3 linked regions of the Drosophila melanogaster genome follow. The gene in region 2 interacts genetically with the main gene of each other region. Each region holds a gene or a part of one and is shown on either strand. Other genes may lie near its edges. The genes, in order: erm, pnt and fred.

What was found.
Region 1: of pnt (region 2) and erm, changing one suppresses a phenotype caused by changing the other (phenotypic suppression), as found in Drosophila melanogaster (one study listed by BioGRID).
Region 3: of pnt (region 2) and fred, changing one suppresses a phenotype caused by changing the other (phenotypic suppression), as found in Drosophila melanogaster (2 studies listed by BioGRID).

Annotation. Positions count from the first base shown.
Region 1 is NT_033779.5:1,952,630-1,956,383, reverse strand, and holds the start of erm (earmuff), read left to right. Parts: upstream 1-1,830; 5' UTR 1,831-2,058; coding exon 2,059-2,070; intron 2,071-3,504; coding exon 3,505-3,754.
Region 2 is NT_033777.3:23,344,454-23,348,207, forward strand, and holds the start of pnt (pointed), read right to left. Parts: upstream 1,715-3,754; 5' UTR 945-1,714; intron 1-944. Other genes in the region: PolE1 (DNA polymerase epsilon subunit 1), read left to right, coding at 3,738-3,754.
Region 3 is NT_033779.5:3,989,604-3,993,357, forward strand, and holds the start of fred (friend of echinoid), read right to left. Parts: upstream 2,111-3,754; 5' UTR 1,945-2,110; intron 198-1,944; 5' UTR 1-197.

The sequences.
Region 1 (3,754 bases), on a different chromosome or scaffold from region 2:
TCCAGTTGGTTGTTGTTTGTGCTGCTATTTTCCCCTCGTTGCTGCCTTTTTTCACTGCGTTTATTTATTCAACTAAATGCAGATTGCACATTTCAGTATGTGCCGTTCATTTAGCTTCCAGTTAATCACGCTGTTTTGCCCGCTTTTTGTCAAGGATAATCACCGGATTGTTTTTGCTTCGTCGAACGTATGCTTACTAAAATATTGGAATTATTCACACAATATTGAAGCTTGTTAAATTAGGCAGTAGAAGACACCTATAATAGTATTACGAATTTCCATGAATTTTCATGTTAAAGTAGATTTACCCGTCGGCATCTCAAAGGAATCAAACAAATAGTTTACAAATATTGTACAATAGTTTTTATGGTTGCCACATTCAACCCATCCAATCAACATTACTCCAATGAGGAAACCTAATCAACAAAGAGCTGATATTTGCATATCGATTTCCCCACACAAGAGCCGCACAACAAGCCAGATTAACGGAAAATGCAGTCGAAATGGCGGCCATAGTCCTTGAAGGATCCACTAAAACCCCCACGCTCCCCGTCGGACTCGCCGAAGAGTTGTGCTTTTGTGTGGCCTTGCAGCTGCAATTGCTGAACTGCTCAACTCCAGCAAAAGCAGCCATGTGCCCTGCATTGCCCAAGAAAAGGTCCTGGACCGTGGTCCTGCAAACGGATGGAGTTGGTGGAGCAGGACGACAAGCACTGCCAGAGCAAACAAAGTCAAGAAAGCCGCGCTGGAGATGCCATCAAAATGAATATGGGATTATATTTAACTAGTGCTGGCTGGCGATGCAGGGGGCTTCAAATCAAACAAATGAGAAAGGTGCACCTAGAGAACAGGGAAGCTAAAGAATAATATAAAGTTATCTAACCAATTTTATACAATTTACAATCTTTAAAAATTGGCGATTGATGCTTATCCTGCGACTAACATTCCTACATAGAATAGGGATTACTGATTGGATTACGGGTGAATTATTTTCTCTGTATATAGCAAAAAAAGATGAAGAATTGGAGAGAATCAAAGAATCCTTGCCCGCTGGCGGGCTAAAGGTGAGCAAACAAAGACGCTGATAAAACGAAATGCCAAAACGACAATTGAAACGCCCAACAAAAGGCATGAGCTTTCCAGGAGGGGGATGCGCTGGGAACGGGGAACGGGGAAAGGGGTGGGCCAGTGAAAAAGTCAACTCGAGAGGCATCCACGAGGCCGGTGGCTGCCATTTCTTGGTGTCTGGTGTCGCCCCATCCAAATCAAGTGTGAACGGAATACGGCCAAAGGTGGCCCATCCATCCATCCATCCATCCATCTCTCCGTCCGTCCATCGGTCTCTTTCCAGCAGCCGAGTGCTACGCATAGTGCGCTCCCTCTTTTGCGGAACCTCCTCCATCTCGTCACTCCTCTATGTATCATCTTCCTGGGCTCTTGAGCTCTATCTCTATATAAATATTTTAGGGGCGGTCTCTGCTCACTGCCTCTCTCTTTCGCCGTAATATTCCAATTCGACATTTTGTCTTTTCATTCATAATGCAGTCGCAGTCGACGGCGACGTCGGCGTCAGGACATATCCTCCAATCTGAACGTGATGATTAAGTTCTCCTTTTGCCCGTCGCTCCCATCAATCCATCTCGCTCTGTCGCTCGACCAGGACGTCTGCATCCATCTCTCTCTCTCCCTCGGCATGCATTTCATCTCTCACTCTCGCCAACGGCGGCAGCACGCAGGACTCTCGGGGGTTGTTTCGCCAGGATTCACCCCAGCACTCGCCGTGTGTCCTTTTCATATTTCTTAAGGCCCGCACCGTTCGCTGTTTGCCTTCATTCCGCTTCGGTCGCTGATCCTGTGCTGAACGCGTCCTGTTCCTCGCGTCCCTCGATTTGCATTTAAAAAGCGTATATCCTTATCGACGAAACAAGTGAACTTTAAATAGTAAAGTAAAAGGACCAAGTTCAATTTGTGTGTGCCAACTGTTGTGTTTTGCCTCTAACAAGTGGAGATCGGCCGCCTGCCAAGGGAACTGGATATCCACATAGGCAGTGCCTGAATATGGTTTACTTTGTACGTATTCGATACATAAAAACTTAATTTATTACTCTGTAATTGCAAAACTCCGACGGGAAAAGGAAAAAACTATAAAGTACAAGTTCGCTTTTTCATATTAGAAGCATTTCGAAGCTATTTGCGTGACGTTCGTAAGAAAAGCAGGCATTTACATAGGTCTATGTCCTCTTTAGATAGTATTTCGTCTTGTATCTTTACCATCATTCTTAACACTTATGATTTTGATTAACCCCATCAAAAGCCAGCTTCATCTCATAACTTCTAACATGTGCTAGGGCATAGCCACTTGTTCAACTCAAGACAAAGTTTCCAAGTGCCTGTGTGCTCCGTTGATTGAATATTATTCCACGCACTTGGTTAATAAGCTCGATGTGGTTCGCACTCCCCAAGTGGCGTTCGTAGAGGCAAATTTTGAAGTGGCCACTAGAACACCAACATAATTCGGCTGCTTAAAAGTGGAACTACTCGTTCGTAGTAGTAGTAGTTTGGCACCCGGGAAACTTTGGGATCGAGGGCTGACCGCCGCTGCCTCCGGGTCAGCGTGTGAAATGGTTGCCGCCTCTCGTTTAATGAGATTAAAGCGCACTTTGGAAGGGAAACTGCAAGATGGGCGAACTGCGGACCCAGATGGGAGCTGGGCCTGCTGAGGCGTCAAATCAAGTTAATTAAAAGCGGCAAGGAAGTCGGTAATCGCACCGGATGTCGCACATTAGCCACACTCGAGGGCACATGGGGAAGATGGAGCCGGCGAGGCGGCGAGGCGGCCTTACACCTCCAGTCGAGTGTAAGCGATTTAATGAATCTCACATAAAGCCAAGACCCGCGCCAAAAAATTCGCATACTGCTTACTGGGCCTGTGTTATGATTGATGGCAATATGCTGGCGAAAGGATTGAGGTCTTTGTTTGGGTTAAGTGGAGTGTAAGCCAGGGCAAAGCACGGGTTAAATGCAAATAGCGTGGTATGCAAAATCGATCGGGTAATATTATGGAACGCACTGCGGTTTGCGTTTAATTGCAACCCGCTGGCTGGCCCTGAATTATCCTGCGGAAATGTCCTGCCGCTGGGAGCACGCCCTCCGCTGGCGTTTGTTTGTGCTCCCGAATTGCCAACGCATTAGTTGCACTTGACTGATCAGGCGGTAAATAGTCCGTACAGCTGCGGTCAAAACAATAGGGACCACTTGAAATCCGAGCAACTTGGGAATAGGTGTTGTTATTATATTCATAATTATAAACCGAAATATATGCTTTACATATATGCTTTTGAAGGCAAGAAGTTTTTAGAAAGGTATGGGAACCAGAAATGTTATTTATCCTAGTTATTTCCCCCCAACTGTGGCCACAAACAATGGAGGCGTATGCCTTCGATTAATTGATAACCCGTTGCTTAGTTTGCATACTCAATTTGGCTCTTTGTTCGTTTCTTACAGAGTCCGCGTGGCATGCAACCGTGTAGTCCAGCGGGAGAAATCGCAATGATGCCGCCTTCGAAGAGCCCCGTGATGGAGAGCGCCGCCTCCGAACAGAATCCTGCCCAGCAGAGCCAGCAGCAGGACGAGCAGAGCGCCAAGCGGGCGTGTCCCCTAAAGTTTTCGATAGCCAAGATCATGGAGCCGGATCACAGGCCCAGCCAAGTGCCACCGCCGCAGCCCGCTCCGGTTTCCTTCGCCACCAACGATG
Region 2 (3,754 bases):
GACGTAAATCAAGTTTTATCATAGAAATAATAACAATTGATCTAAGCAAAATCTTATTGTAAAATTAATCATTTTAATGGTAACATTTTTATAAAATATGATATCGGTTAAGCCTTTAACTATCCTTTGATCTTTTTTGTATTAATAATTACTTTAATTTACATCCCAAATTGTAAGATCCTTTTAAAAACCCTTTCAGGTAACCCAAAGTGCAGAACAGGAAAGCCCCAATTATACATACTTTAAAACCGAAAGGTCAAAAGAGTAGCACTCCGGTATCAGTTTTATTGATACTTAATTGTCTAATGCGATCGCTGTGCTAGATTCTTGACCCTAACCAAAAACCGTTCACACATTCTCGATTACCAAACCCCTTGGATTGATGGCCCGAAACGCGATCGTGGGGCAGGCGAAGCTCATTTGCCGCACCGGAAGCTGTAAAAGGAACAGTAGTAATTTCGAGCGTGTTTCCCACAAGGGTTGTGGAAGTGCCCCACACACACACACTCACGCACACTGGCGGCTAACTAGCTTGGCTATGATGCCGAGTAGAAAACCAATTCAAATTCTGTTGGCCTGGCCAACAACGAGTTTATAGAGGCAGCAATCCTGAATCGAGGCGAGATCGCGAGATCGGCGGATCTACCGAGCGGTAGCCAAACCAGTTTTCTCCTAGATTCATTCAAGAAAACAGGCAACACCAACACAAAAAGGGTTTACATGCACTCAAAAGAAACTCTCTAAATTTCATATTTTTAAGATAAATATGATTTAAAAGTTATATTTCAAAACTATATATCAACAGCAATTAAGAGATATATGGTTTATTATTTGTTTTCAATTGTTTTGTCTTTTAATTTTCGCTGGATTTTTGTTTCGAGTGTAGGGAAAATAACAAAAACTAATACTTGAACTACTGTTTTTCAACACTTCACTTTTCTTACCGGTGCGGGGTAATAAAATAGCGCCCCTTCGTGAACAAGAAGGCGGGGGCTACTGGGCTCTTGATTTTTGGTTTGTGGGTTCTGGATTCTAAAGACCGTCTTTCGGTTGGCTTTTTATTAGGGTATCCAAATTAATTACAGCTTCAAATTAGGCGCACAATCTTGATGGACTCCGCAGCACCGATGACTATCTCTTGCTCGTTCTCTCTCTCTATCACGCTGTATAGATGTGTATGTTTTAACCCTCCGGTGGGATCAGCAGGTTGATTAGGGGGAGAGAGAGAGGGATTACGTGCCGGGCACAAAGACAAACGAAAAACCGAAAGGAACAACTCGAGAAGAAATCGGGGATCGGTTTAGCTCGGCTTATAAGACGCGAAAAGAAACAAACCGAAAAAAGGCCGACGGATCGCTGGCAAACACACACACGCGCGCGCACACTCACACTCAGGCACTCTCACGCGATGTTTGAGGAGATTTTTGTGGTTTTATGATGAATTTCGTATATAGAAATTGGTTTCCTGTGTTTCTGAACCGCGTTTTTTTTTCTGTTGCTGTTTGCCTTCCTTTTTTTGATGTATATTGCGCGCGCAGATCTTTAGATGTTTTGCTATTGCACTCATTCACTTACACACTGGGTTTTTGCTTGGCTTGCAAAGTGTTTTGCATTTGTTATTTATTTGTTATTTGATTCGTATAATTCATTCAAATCGAATTTACCGTAGCGCAAGTGCACGCTTCCCGAAAGAAAGACAAAAACAGACTGACCGACTGGCAACAGGCGGCAGCGACGCCGACGTTGGCGCAGACGCAGCGTTGACGCCAACGCCGACGCACCTTCTCTCTCCGTTTCTCTCTCTCTTTCTCTCCGCTGCTAAGATTAATATTTTTTTGTGTTGCTCTGGCAAGTGATAACAAAAATGGCAAATAATATGAAAATCGAGAGTTATATCAATCTGACTTATAAACATTATTCGCTATTTTACTTGATCGCTGGAATGAAAACGAAAAGGCGTGGGTGATCCTCAATCTCGCTATCTCTTTCGCACTCGCACTAGAGCGTGCATCATGAGCGCAAGAAAAAAATGGAAATCAGAATTACATATTTCGAGCAGCAAAAACAAAGTGTTTGCAGCGACAAAAAAATAGCAACAATTTATAAAAAAAATCTGCTTGCTCAGAACTCAGTGTAAGTGCGAATATGCGAGAGAGTGTGTGGGTGCGTGTATGTGTGTGTGTGTGTGTGTGCGGGCGATCGTTTTTGGCAAGCATTTAAACAGTGCCCAAAATCACTAGTATATTTAAAATATTTAGTATGCAAAGGGGGCGGAATAATAAAGACAAATATTTTAAAATTTGGCAGTCTCAGTCTTTCAATTGTGTACACTGATATAAAAATTTATTTATTTTGATTCTGGATTTTATACAAATCTATATTTTTGACAAATAAAGTAAATTGGTCAAAATATCAGTTCCAGCTTATTTAAAAGGAAAATTATACTAGTTTCTTTGTTATAATAATTAATAAAATATTTATTTAATATGAAATAATACCTATATGAAAATTTTGATGTGAGATTAAATTATCAACTTATTATTATCATTATTAAAGTTTGCACACAATGTGGGAAAGCTGCAGCTTGGGAAAATACTTTTGGACACCCCAAAAAAAGTTAAGCGCGATATTTTCCCACCGTGACCATGACAACCACTGTGCGTTCGAAAGGCTCTCTCTCTCTCTCTCTTTCGCGCAAATCAAAAACACAAACAGGTTTATGTGTGCGGAGAGTGTGTGCGACAGAGAGCGGCGATATGGAACTGAAACGACTGCAATGTTTTTATATTCCGGCAACGCATTTCGCATAAATTACAAATTACACAGCATAAGTGAATGCAAGTGCAGGGGCGGCAGTCAAATGGCCAGCTGCACCCAGAAAAAGGGCAATAAGATTCGGGATAACAAAACTTGATGGCGTTCCCGATTTTCCCGGCCAAGGGAGCGTATATGTACACATAAAAAAAAAAAACTTAACCAGCCTTGCATAACGAAACACGTGCAATAAAAATATGGCTGATTGTCAACCTCTGCTGCAACTTAATTGCTGCCGCAGAGGTAAAACTGAAAAACATAAAAGGGGGCGACAAGTGCAGCAAGCGAAAAAAAAGAACTCAAAGAGCGCATGCGCGCCGCTCTCCCACTCTCTCTCCCTCTCTCCACTGCGCTGGAATCTTACAACTCGTGTAGGTGAGCCGGATTTTTATGAATGAATGCGCCTGTGTGCGTGACTGCATGATGCCATTGCAGCGGAGAACTAGTAGAAAAAACTTCACATTTCAGCAGTTGGAAAACACATGGCCAACAGGCCAACTCAATTGGCCAGCAGCTGTCCTTAAATTGTCAGCAAATAGGGCATTTAATGCCCATTACAGGAAAATTATAGCTAAAATGGTCAAGCTGTGATGAAATAAACATAAATATTATATTTTATGATTTCATCAGATTTTAAGCATTATTTTTTTAATTTGTGTTAGGTGGAACTACAAAGCTAAGAATAATTGAGGATTTCTAGGTAAAACTTATATTCTTAAAACCATTTAATAATTTTCTTGTTTTCTTTTATTTGTAGTAACATTTTGAAATTGGCGCCAAACGTGTTACTTTACAGTGCTGTGCAACAGCTAAATGTCAGCATTCTCTGCAACGCGTTAGCACATTTCTGAGACGTTTGCAGATTTTTGGCGGCAACAAGTTATTTACATTTATTTATTTTATTTCTGCTAAACAGCACGGAAATGTCCGACTCCAGCAA
Region 3 (3,754 bases), on a different chromosome or scaffold from region 2:
TGGAAATGCAATTTGGCTGACGATTATCCCGAGACACATTTCGGTTTTTGTTTCTGCGGTTGTGCGTTTTTTTCTCTCTATTTCGGTTTCAATTTGCGTGTTTTTAAAGGCTCACTCGAGAATTGATTTTGCAATGCGATGCTGAAATGCTCGTTCAAATATTCACGCACTCGAGATGCCGATACTACGGCTGGACACTGTAATTAAATGTTTCAATTAAATTAAATGCGACACACACACACTCGTGCTCATGTTAAATGCATATGGAAGGCGCCTAGAAGTAGGCAATGAATATTTAAAGGCTCAGACATTTCAATTTGGGCTTGCAAAACCGGGCCGAGGCCGAAAGGTCCAATTGAAGCCATGCCCAGGCATTAAATGAACATATTTCCCAAATAATAATAATTTGCAAGAGCACCGACTAGAGATGGATACCCCAAATGGAATTGTGCCCACTCAGTTGGCTTTGCCCCCGCCGCACATGTAAACTGTGCTGCTAATGTCTTATTCATGTTTACAATACCCAGCAAAAAGCGACTTATGAGCGGACAGCATGTCAGTCAAATAGCTTGAAAATGGCCCATCGCTTGCGTGCTCCAAACTTATTAGGTTTCATCCTAACGAAAATCCCACACCCTCCATATCCGCATCCACATCCCAGCCCCAGGTGAGTTGATTCCGCCGGAATGGTTGATGGGCCTCCTTTTGACCAAGCCTCGGCAATTGCCGGGCTATTTATTTAAACCGGAGCCGAGGGGACACAAAACCGTAGCGTTTTACTGCCCAATTGTTAATGGAAATCTCCTGCGTTACTCGACACTAATCACTAAGTAATTATGAGTTATTAATGGTGACTGCTTATTTTTATTTTGAGCCAGAGCTTTGGAAAGATAATCCGTACTTAAAATAAAACACCTTTAATTTTATGCATTTACACTGCTTGAGTTTATAGCAGGTTTTTTAGTCACTAACTTACAATTTAATCACTTAGGTGTTTTCACAAAATCTAAATTTTTGAATATTTTAAAACTTCTTATCAGGTCACTTGCATATTTTGGCAAGCTTTCCTCGTTTATTTAGTTTTTCTTCAGGAAATTTATGTGTTTTAAGCAATAAATACTTGTATTATCACAAAACGCTTTAGGTAACAGTTATCTCGATTGTCTTTGCTGTATTTAAATGCACTGTGCCTCAGAATCGAATACTAATGAAAATATATATCTTTTACTATTTGACTCCAGTGCATTCAAATCGACATTTTATTTAAGAAACTCTCGGCAACTCACAACTCAGCGAACTAAACATGGCTCCTAATTCGCTTATGCACTGCCAGTAACTTTAAGCTAAACCATTTTCAACGCCATCAAAATAACCAGCCGTCATAACAATGGGCAAAAAAGCAAGAGAAATCCTAAAGAAAGCTCCCAAATCAGCTGTCACAGTGGAATAATAAAAATAATTTATTTGCATTTTATTTGCCCAGCCTGGGAGTGAGTCTGGCTCGGACTTGTTTTCTAGGACCAAAGAGCAAGGACCAAGGACAACAAGTTGCTGACACACACAAACGGAAAGGACGCACAAAAAAAATAAGAGGAAATTATACGGATTTGACAGATGAGCGAAGGTAAGTGGAGCACAACTTTCGCAGCGGCTTTAAATTGAGCAGAAATTGTTTGTCACTGTTTGCTGGCCCCTTTTGGCGCTTTGCTCGTATTTTATTTTATTTCATTTCATTTCTTTTTTCCCGTTTTCTATTTCTGTTGCACTAGTTTTGGCCCAGTTTCTGGCTTTTTGGCGGCATAAATATGCATGGCTGTGGGCCGAGCAGCGGGCGGTGGGGGCAGGAGGTGGGTGCAAGGTCACGGGGAAAAGCGGGGCAACAGTTGCACTTGAGTGCCATTTGTCGAAAGAGTTGCCCGGCAATTTGCATAATTACAAACGCACATGTAAGCGAAACGCGGTTTCCGCCTGTCCGCAATTTCCACTGCAACGCTTTTCCGCACTCGCGTTTCTTCGGTTTCTACATATACTTGGGGTCCTGTTTTTAGGAGACTTTTCCACTCGGCCTTTCCAGTTCTTCCCGACTTTTCCGCTTTGCCGCCCGTGGCCGCAGAATGCTTCTTACCAACTAAGTGCAATTTCGGTTTTGTTCCAGCTTAAGAACGAAGTTCGATATGACGAGCTGCAAAACACGAGTACAGTGAACTTCGGATGTCGCGTACGAGTGTACGAAATCCATAGACGAAGTCGCCAATTTCGGTTGTTGAATATTATTCGAGGCGGCTGCGCTGAGAGAAAGGCTTGGCAACATGTTGCCAAGGGAGAGAAAGTTCTCTTTTGAAAAAAAAAGAGAGCGGCTAAGGACTTTTGTGGTAGGTTAGGAACTCTAGTGAAAGGACTCAAAACAACGAACCGCAAATTGTCCTAGGCCTGTAATTCATCCATAGATCAACGGAAATTTTGTTAAACATAACTCTAAGTTTTATGAAATAGTTAATCATGCCTAGTTGTCTTTATACAATGCCAACTATTCCATATTTATTTCACTTTAAACATCACATACTTTTCATTCATATTAATATCTTCTTGTTTGATAGCTCAAAGTTTACAAGATTTAAGAACATGTTAATTTGTAGATATTTTCATTATTCGATTCAAATCATCATTAATGGTTTACAGATGAATTTATTTCTACAAATAAATACATACAAGTTGTTTAATTTTATCAAACTGCTACATTTATTAGTTTTATTTGCTTTTGTGGTCCTTTTCCTGCTCTTTGGTTTATTTATGTTTTGGGGTCAGTTGTTTATGGCCATAAACACACACGAAGCATAGTCCACGAAATTTTGTTTGGACCATAATCGTTGGGACTCGGTTTTAGACAAGTTTTTTGCCCCAATCCTGGCTAACTTTTCCGGAGAGAAACTGTTTCCTATTTCACTCGTTCCCATCTCTCTTTTCCGTGCGGTTTTCTCTCACATTCTCTTGCCGAAACTTTCTCTTTTGGCAACATGTTGATTTGTTGCACTTGCAAGTGCATTCGTTTTTATTAATCAAGGCAATCAACAGTTGGTCCTGACTAGTGCAGACAGAAAGTACGGAATGCTCTGCATTTCGTTTTTTAATATTTTCACATGAATTATATGTTCCTGAAATCTTTTTATTTTACGAAAACTTACATATTTGAAGGGTCCTTTTGAATATTTTGAGCAATCAACAAAAGTGTCCCCCATTTTACAACAGCTATGTTTCTGAGTAGTTTATGGCCCACGCTTCGCAGGATAAACATTTTGGGCCCTTAGGCAGTTGTTTTGCAGCCCTTACTCCCTGTTTTGAACATGTCGTGGCACATAAAAAATATTTGCAAACTAAATGTGGCAAGTTTGGGGAGAAAAAAAGTAAAAAAAAAAAAAAGAGACCGCCACAAAGGTTGAGCCAACACCTTGGCACTCAAATACACACAGATATGTACAAAAGTTGTTAAAAAGTCCGAATAAATAAATTTTCTCTTTCAGCGAAAGAGAAAGATGTAGTGGGAGTAAGTGAGAGGTCGGAAGTGGAGACGCCTCACAAATGTTTGACATAAATTTATGCGTTTTGTGTGTTGCCCACGAAAACTCCTCAACTTTGCTTGTAGATCAGGTTAGATGGTACAATTTCGTTTTGGGGCGGAGGGCTTGAAAACTTTAGAGGAGGGGCTGGAAAATCAGGGGGTGGAGGAATTCGGGGCAGTCATGGTTGAGGATGCCAA